2 linked regions of the Cricetulus griseus genome follow. The protein of the gene in region 2 purifies or fractionates together with the protein of the main gene of each other region. This does not show direct contact. Links are inferred from orthologs where the notes say so. Each region holds a gene or a part of one and is shown on either strand. Other genes may lie near its edges. The genes, in order: Ireb2 and Ciao2a.

Region 1 (4,071 bases), about 11 Mb from region 2:
TACAGAGGCAAGATTAACTGTTTCACATGCTGGATGTTATGTTGGGAATGAACAAAGTCTGAACATTATATTCTTATTAAGCATGTTCTAATTTCTGGATAGCTTTTCATTTCCAAAGTCATGATGTTTTACTCTAAGTTACTACAACATGAGTCAAGTGTGATAATACAATTTTCTTTATTAAAAATAATTTACAGCATCAATAACATATACACAATTTCATTAACTGAACTTTACCTTCAATATATTTCTATACAATACTTAACATTATTGAACTTAAAACTTATGCTATTTTGTTGGCTTTAAATAACAATGATTTGTAGTTACTTAAGAGATATATATGGTTTTATAGCCACATATTATGCATAAAATTGATAAACAAAACAAAAAGACCACATCAGCACAGTCACAGTCCCCCTTGAAGGGGAAAAAATTCCATTGAAACAGTCAAAGTCTACTTCCTTTCCCTGTTTTTCCCCTCAAATCAATTATAGTATCATTATCCAGTATCTTAGTATCTTCTCCCTAGACTCAAAGGCAAAAAGGAAGGTGGTTTTTCAACCCCTGAAAACTGTCAAATTTTCTCATCCTGTCACCACTGAGAAGAGGAATGCACATTATATTGTTATCACATATGCAAATAACTTGACTCTGCCTGAGCTCTTCACTTTACAGCTTTTAGTTTAATACCAGTGAAAATCCAAACAGTCAGGTGAAGAGATGCCTCTCATCCAAGTGCTAACACAGAGAAAGAGATACCCGTTGCTCATTTGTATGAGCAACACAACTAAGGCACACAACAGCATGGAACACAATGCTTGAGACTAAAATGCTGCTGTTGGTAACTGCGCTACATTCACAATACTGATTTGCTTTTTTGTGTTCACTTCCTTTCCCAAATATTGGTAATGTTTAGAAAATAACACAAAAGTACTAAAAATAGTCAATGAAGGAAATAACACATTGAAAACAGGCATATTTTTGTAACATTTGGCTGGAGGCAGAATTACAAAATATACATACGCATTGAGACATGCGTTTAATTTTCCTCCCTCATTTAAAATCGTGCTTATTGAGATTTTAGTTCACTGTTTCTAAGCAAGAGAATAAGATTAAGATTTTGTTCCCGAAATACAATTTTTATACCATGACTGGACTAGGTGGACTAGAAATGTAAGTGTTTGATTCATAGCTGGGTTTATCATCTCTCATATGTTTATGTCCACATCTTTAGCTCAGACTATCGACAGAGTATGCTTTCAAAATAAGTCATTTCCCCCACAAATACATCCTGAATTACCATTTTTTCAAAGCATGTACCAGTATTTTAATACTCAATTTGTAACTTCTCCATTCCCAACTCAGGTTTCCATGCAGATTAATACATATGCATAGACAGACACATGGCTTCTACCAGAACACAATATGATTTCAAAGTAGGAAAAAAAAAAAAAAAAACCACTTAGTACAGAGACTTTGTTTTGTCAAACTCTAGTTCAACTAAGTACATATTTGAAAAATATTCTCAACAGACTGTATGACTGATTATGTGCAAAGTTCTCAGTGCTCTTCACCCACTGGTTTGGTAGTTGCTGAATTTTAGCATAAAACAAGTACTTTTGTTTTGTGCTATGCACAAAAACAGATCAGATGAAGAAAACATTTTTAAAAATCATTACATTTAACATCTTGCTGCCAAGTTTAATTTCTTCATTAAAATGTTATAGGGACTTCTAAAACAAATTTCCAACCCTTTAAAAAAATGTTTTAAAACACAAAGCATATGGTATAACAGATATAAATGCAACTGGGAACACATGACATGCAGACAGCAATGATCACCAAGAGTCTTATCCTTATGGTCAGTTTTGATTAAAAATTAACAAGTTATAATGAAATGAACAGATCCCAAATAAAGACTGATGTATCCCAAATAAAGACTCAAATAGCAGTAAGTCAACTTAAAGGACTGTAAAAAATAGCATTAAAAAATACTTAGGGGTGCATATCCATATAATTTTGGGTAGATAATTTATTTATTAGTCTAGGGGAAATCTAGAGTTGATTGAAGTTGTTTTCAGCATTTAGAAAAGGAGTGTGGAATGTCAGTTGATAATACCTAATTGAGGTTACAGAAGTTATAGTATCATGTAAAATAAGCAAAATCTAGTCTAAATTAATATACCAGTATTCAAGGCTTGTCAGAGAGTCACAGTGGCAAATTACTGAAAAATTACAGGGCTGTACCATAGGAGATATTTTTTTACTAATACATGATACCATACAATCATCTATATTTTGCAGTTATTTATCCTCAGACATGGTGTAAACTTTGGCTGGATTGGTCAGAGGGACTGTGATCTGGGGCAGGTTCTATTACTCAAGATATACTGAGACTAAGGGTAAATTTGACTTACATTACAAATTGGGAATGCTAACTGTGTCCCAATCAATCCTGGAAAGAATACACTTAAAAATTTCTTTATAAATTAGGTAGCCATTCCCAATATTTTAGGGACTAATCTGGATTCTTGTATTTCAACTTGCTATTCTTAAACCAACAAACAGTAGTCCAATTTTATAGGGCAAAACAAAACAAACTGCTTCAGAAAGGCTACTCATATGAATCTTCAACACAAGTTCAAATTCTGTCTTTATTTACAAAATGTTCTGATAAAATATAACCCCCATACTTACAGGCCTCTTCCACGACACACTTCACACGTTGATTTTTAGCAATGTTAATAGCACCATTCGTATATTATTTAAAATCAAGATTTCATTTCAGTCACTACATTGATTCATAATCATTTACATCCATGGATGACATAAACAAGTGTACTGGAATTATCTGCAGCTCCATGGCAAAGGTTCCTGGATCCAGCACAAAAGGCTTTGCAGTTACCAGTCACAAAAGATACCATGGCAAGTAGATACTATGAGAATTTTCGAGCCACAAAGTTTAATAAGCCTCCATGTTTGTACAAAGTTATCTCCACATCATTCTCAAATGATGCAATCACGCTGAATTCTTTTCCAGTACTTGTCTTTTAAACAAACAAAAAGATATGTGAGTGTCAGAGCTTCGAATAAGATCATTTGTATTCACATCCACTAACTCCCCGATTTGTTGCCTCATTTTCCTGGTCTAAATTCCTACATTTTGATTGCCCAAAACCCTTCCATTATTTAAAAACAATTAGCTAAATAGAAAAACAGGTATTTTGATCTCTAATTCTAAAGGACAAGTATCAGACTTTGCAATTCTATAGCATGACTTAGTTTTGCTTCCTTTATGAAAGTTATCACTCACTATTTACTCTTACTATACAGTAAGTGTCCATTACATATAATGTCTCTGTCCTTTTCTTTCTTTCCTTAGTTATAAAGGCTTAGTCTAACCCTGAATGCCGAACTTTAGCTTCTCTCTGGAATGGATTATTGCCTGGGTCAAAGTTAGATCAAAAGAGAAAGAGCTGAAAACCTGGCAGAAGCAACTGAACCTCAATCCTCTACCAGGCATCTTTTTCTAGGCTAAGCAACCAGTTCCTTCTACTTTTCCTCAGACAACATGAGCTCTATTAATAACAGAGATTAACAGCAAAAAGCTACAGCTTACATGCACTGACATTAGCATGCAATTAGAAACAATTCTTACTCAACTTACACCTATCTGAGTACAGAGTACACAATTATGTATTTGGAAATTTTCAGATACCTTCATATTTAATGTAATTCCAGGAGAGAGTTCTTCAGGAAATGATAAAGAAAATACTTCTCTACCAGAGAGTCCCAAGGAGTCTGCATTTTCTCCTGGGAGAAACTCAAGTGGAGCTATGCCAATTCCAATCAAATGATCTTTGTGGATTTTTTCATAACTTTCAGCCAAAACAGCCTTTACACCCTGTAACGGACATGCGTTTCATCACTTTTATTTTTATCACCACCACCACCACCACCACCACCACCACCACCACCACCACCACCACCACCACCACCACCACCACCACCATTAGTTTAGAGAAGATCTTGGTTTGTAGCCTAAATTGGATTCAAACTCATGACAATTCT
Region 2 (3,822 bases):
CAAAACGGCTCAGTATGTAGAAGTGCTTGCCATGCATGCCCGATGACCTGAATTCAATACCTGGGAGCCACATGGAGGGAAAGAAACTCCCTGAAAGTTATCCTCTGACCTCCACACATGTGCCATGGAACACATGTATCCTCACTCACACAAACACACAAGTAGAAAGACCACCGTCCAGATTCCCCCAGTGGCACAGAACACTTACTGAACCCATGAGTATCACTCTCCATTCCTTCACTTTGGTTAAAAATTACACATGACTCATTATTCTGAAATAGCCATAGCCTGGATGTAGTGGCAGATGCCTTTAATCCCGGCACTTGAGAGACAGCAGCAGGTGGATCTCTGTGAGTTTGAAGCCAGCCTGGTCTGCATAGTGAGTTCCAGGACAGCTAGAGATACATAGTGACAAACAGAGATGAAGAGTCAAGCAATACCTCCTTATTCCGGAGGCAATTGGCATCAATAATACTAAAACTATCACTTCTTGATGTCAGGTAATAGCAGCATGTTTATTCTGTTTTCTTGCCAAAAATAAATAGCAATCTAATCATGAAACATCTGAAAACTCAATGTGAGAGACAATCTATGAAATGTCTGCTCTGTACTCTGTGTCAAGATCACCGAGTGTGCTGATGGTGCTTAGCATCTAGCACTTGGGAAGCTGCCAAAATGGACTCTAGCTAACAAGAATGTGTGATGGGAGGGGAGGGGTAGTAATGGAAGGGTATACTGCCATAAATCATATTAGTGGACAACTGGGGAAACTATATATATATATATATATATATATATATTGAGAGAGAGAGAGAGAGAGTTTTGTTTTGTTTTGTTTTTGAGACAGGGTTTCTCTGTATCTTTGGAGACTGTCCTGGCACTCTGTAGACCAGGTTGGCCTTGAATTCACAGAGATCTGCCTGCCTCTGCTTCCCAAGTGCTGGGATTAAAGACGTGTGCCACCACTGCCCGGCCAATTATACTTTTTTTAAAGATTTATTTATTTTATTTCATGTGTATGACTGTTTTACCTACATGTGTGTGTGTGTTCAGCATGGCCATTGGAGTCAGAAGAACCACCAGAGTTACACATGGCTGTGAGCCACCATGTAGGTGCTGGGCATTGAACCTAGGTGATCTAGAAAAGGAATCAGTACTCTTAACCACTGAACCATCTCTCCAGTGCCCCAAAACAATATTTTTAACTTAACAAGAGGGAACAATTCAAATGTCTTACAACTGATAAGTAAAATAAAACAAGGTGTCTCTCTACAGTGGAATATTATATAGTACAGAAGAATGAAACACCTATACAAGTTAAAACATAAACACCAAAAACATACTAAGTCAAAAAATCCACGTCATTAAACTTCATTAAAATGAAATGCCCCAAGGCAAATCATGGAGACAGGAAATGGTTGTTCCAGTACAGAGGAGGGGATGGCATAAGAGTAGTAGTTACTGCTAGTAACTCTAGGCTGACTGACCAGCTTCCTTGCTTGCTTCCTTCCTTCATTTCCATTTTTGATATAGGCTAGCTCCCATCTCAACCTCCCAAGTGGTGGCATTACACTTATCTATAACCGCACTTGCCTGGGTACAGGATTTCTTTTACAGGCGATGCAAATGTTCTAAAAGTGACTCTGACCGACACAGTTGCAGAGCTCTGTAGGAGTTACCAGAAACCACTAAACTGTCCACTTCATGTGGCTTCCATGATGTGTGGATTATATATTAACAAGTGTCATAAAAGACAATCTGAAGTAGGGTCATGGTTCAGCAGCAGGACACTGGCCTAGATCATGTGAGGCTCTGGGTTTAAGATAATAACAAGCTTTCTTACCTTGTGTTTAAACGGCAGACACCGCTGAAGTTTTACTCTTAAGCACAATCCTGTGACGGGGGGAAAAAACTTCCATTATCTCTTTATCTTGCTCTCTTTTTTTTTTTTCTGTTGTTGTTGATTTTGTTTTTGTTTGTTTGAGACAGGATTTCTCTGTGTAACAGCCCTGGCTGTCCTGGAACTTGCTCTGTGGACCAGGCTGGCCTCAAACTCAGAGATCCACCTCTGCCTCCAGAGTGCTGGGATTAATGGTGTGTGCCACCACCACCAGGCCTCTTTAACTCTTCCTGCTGGTCTAGAAAAAGCACAAAGTGCCGGGCGTTGGTGGCGCACGCCTTTAATCCCAGCACTCGGGAGGCAGAGGCAGGAGGATCTCTGTGAGTTCAAGACCAGCCTGGTCTACAAGAGCTAGTTCCAGGACAGCCTCCAAAGCTACACAGAGAAAAACCCTGTCTCGAACCCCCCCCCCCAAAAAAAAAGAAAATCAAAAATAAAACGTTTCTTAAAAATACAATAATTAGTTGGCTGGGAGGTAGTGGTGCATACCTTTAATCCCAGCAAAAGCAGGTGAATCTGAGTTCAAGGCCAGCCTGAGAAACCCTGTCCCAAAAAACAAACAAACAAACAAACAAACAAACAAACAAAACCCACAGTACATATTTAATATATATATTAAATTTAAAAAAAGAATTCATACATGGTGGGCATAGTTGATACACACCTTTAATCCCAGCTCTTGGAAAGCAGAAACAGGCAGATCCCTGAGTTTGAGGCCAGCCTGGTCTATAAATACAAATCAAGTTCCAAGACAGCCAAGGCTTCAGTGAGACCCTGACACAAACACACACACACACACACACACACACACACACACACACACACACACACACAAACCCTTACCAATAAGAGTTGCCAAAGAGCAATGAGGTACTGTTGGTGTGAACTTGATAATAACCAAATAGTCTTCTTCATTTATTTCCTGAACCTCCACACAACTCTCCGTTACCACTTCCAGTTCTTCTAAAGTATTAGGCTTTTCTGGGTCCCGGATAGTTCGGATCAAATCTAAAGGCATCAGAGACGAGGTATTAAATTAGAGTATCCTAAGTGAGAGCTAGTCTTCTCATCTCAACCGAAGCACTGACTACTTTTTCAAGATTTACTCTGATTTTATGTTATGTTTTGCCTCTATATATGTATGTACATTATGTGCACACAGTGCCCACAGAAGCCAGAAAGGGCCTCAGATCCATGGACAATGGTGAGCTGTAATGTGGGTGCTGGAAAGTGCACCCAGGTCCTCTTCGAGAACAGAGTGCTCTAACCACTGGGCCATCTCTCCAGCCCCTACCACCCCACCCTAACTCTCTTTTAAACAAACATTTCAGCAACTCCCAATTTCCCAACAGACATGTCCCCTACTTTTGAAAAAACTATTTTCTTGGATTATTATTAGCCCATATCCAGTTTCTTAATTCAAAACCATAAGGGACTATGAATGGGAAAATGTCAAGGGCCCGCCAGGGGGATTCTGGCTGAAGAGAAGGTGGGATTAAGCCTTTAGGTGGTTGACATTTAAATTGGAGGACAGAACCACCAGGCATTCCTCAGCTTGGAACCCAGCGTAAGGAAAGAGTGGAACAGAAGGGTGGAGCCCAACCAGCAGGATCTTTCACAGCCAGCCACAGTGAACAGGGATTCCTCAAGATTTAGAACAAGGAAGTGGGAAAGACAGTGCTGCACTGTCAGCTGCAAATTTGCTCACACCAGCTACAAGACCCAGAACCAGAGAGCACAGCTAAAGACAGCCACTGAAAAGTTAGGCCTAAAATCAGCTCGATACAACAGGGACAGAGATGGGACACTCAACGACGTTATCTCAGAGGACTGGCGGGGCAACTTGTTACATCTGGAAGACAAGCACAGAGAGAAAAAGGAGATGACTCAGTTCAAGTATTTGGGAGAATAGTATTAAGATA

What was found.
Region 1: the proteins of Ciao2a (region 2) and Ireb2 purify together in Homo sapiens (affinity purification with mass spectrometry; 3 studies listed by BioGRID and IntAct, with this or other methods). This does not show direct contact. The link is inferred for Cricetulus griseus from reciprocal best matches to the Homo sapiens genes CIAO2A and IREB2.

Annotation. Positions count from the first base shown.
Region 1 is NC_048597.1:166,526,436-166,530,506, reverse strand, and holds the end of Ireb2 (iron-responsive element-binding protein 2), read right to left. Parts: intron 3,905-4,071; coding exon 3,719-3,904; intron 3,048-3,718; coding exon 2,937-3,047; 3' UTR 770-2,936; downstream 1-769. UniProt on the Homo sapiens protein: RNA-binding protein that binds to iron-responsive elements (IRES), which are stem-loop structures found in the 5'-UTR of ferritin, and delta aminolevulinic acid synthase mRNAs, and in the 3'-UTR of transferrin receptor mRNA.
Region 2 is NC_048597.1:177,745,171-177,748,992, reverse strand, and holds part of Ciao2a (cytosolic iron-sulfur assembly component 2A), read right to left. Parts: intron 2,909-3,822; coding exon 2,744-2,908; intron 1,894-2,743; coding exon 1,844-1,893; intron 1-1,843. UniProt on the Homo sapiens protein: Component of the cytosolic iron-sulfur protein assembly (CIA) complex, a multiprotein complex that mediates the incorporation of iron-sulfur cluster into extramitochondrial Fe/S proteins.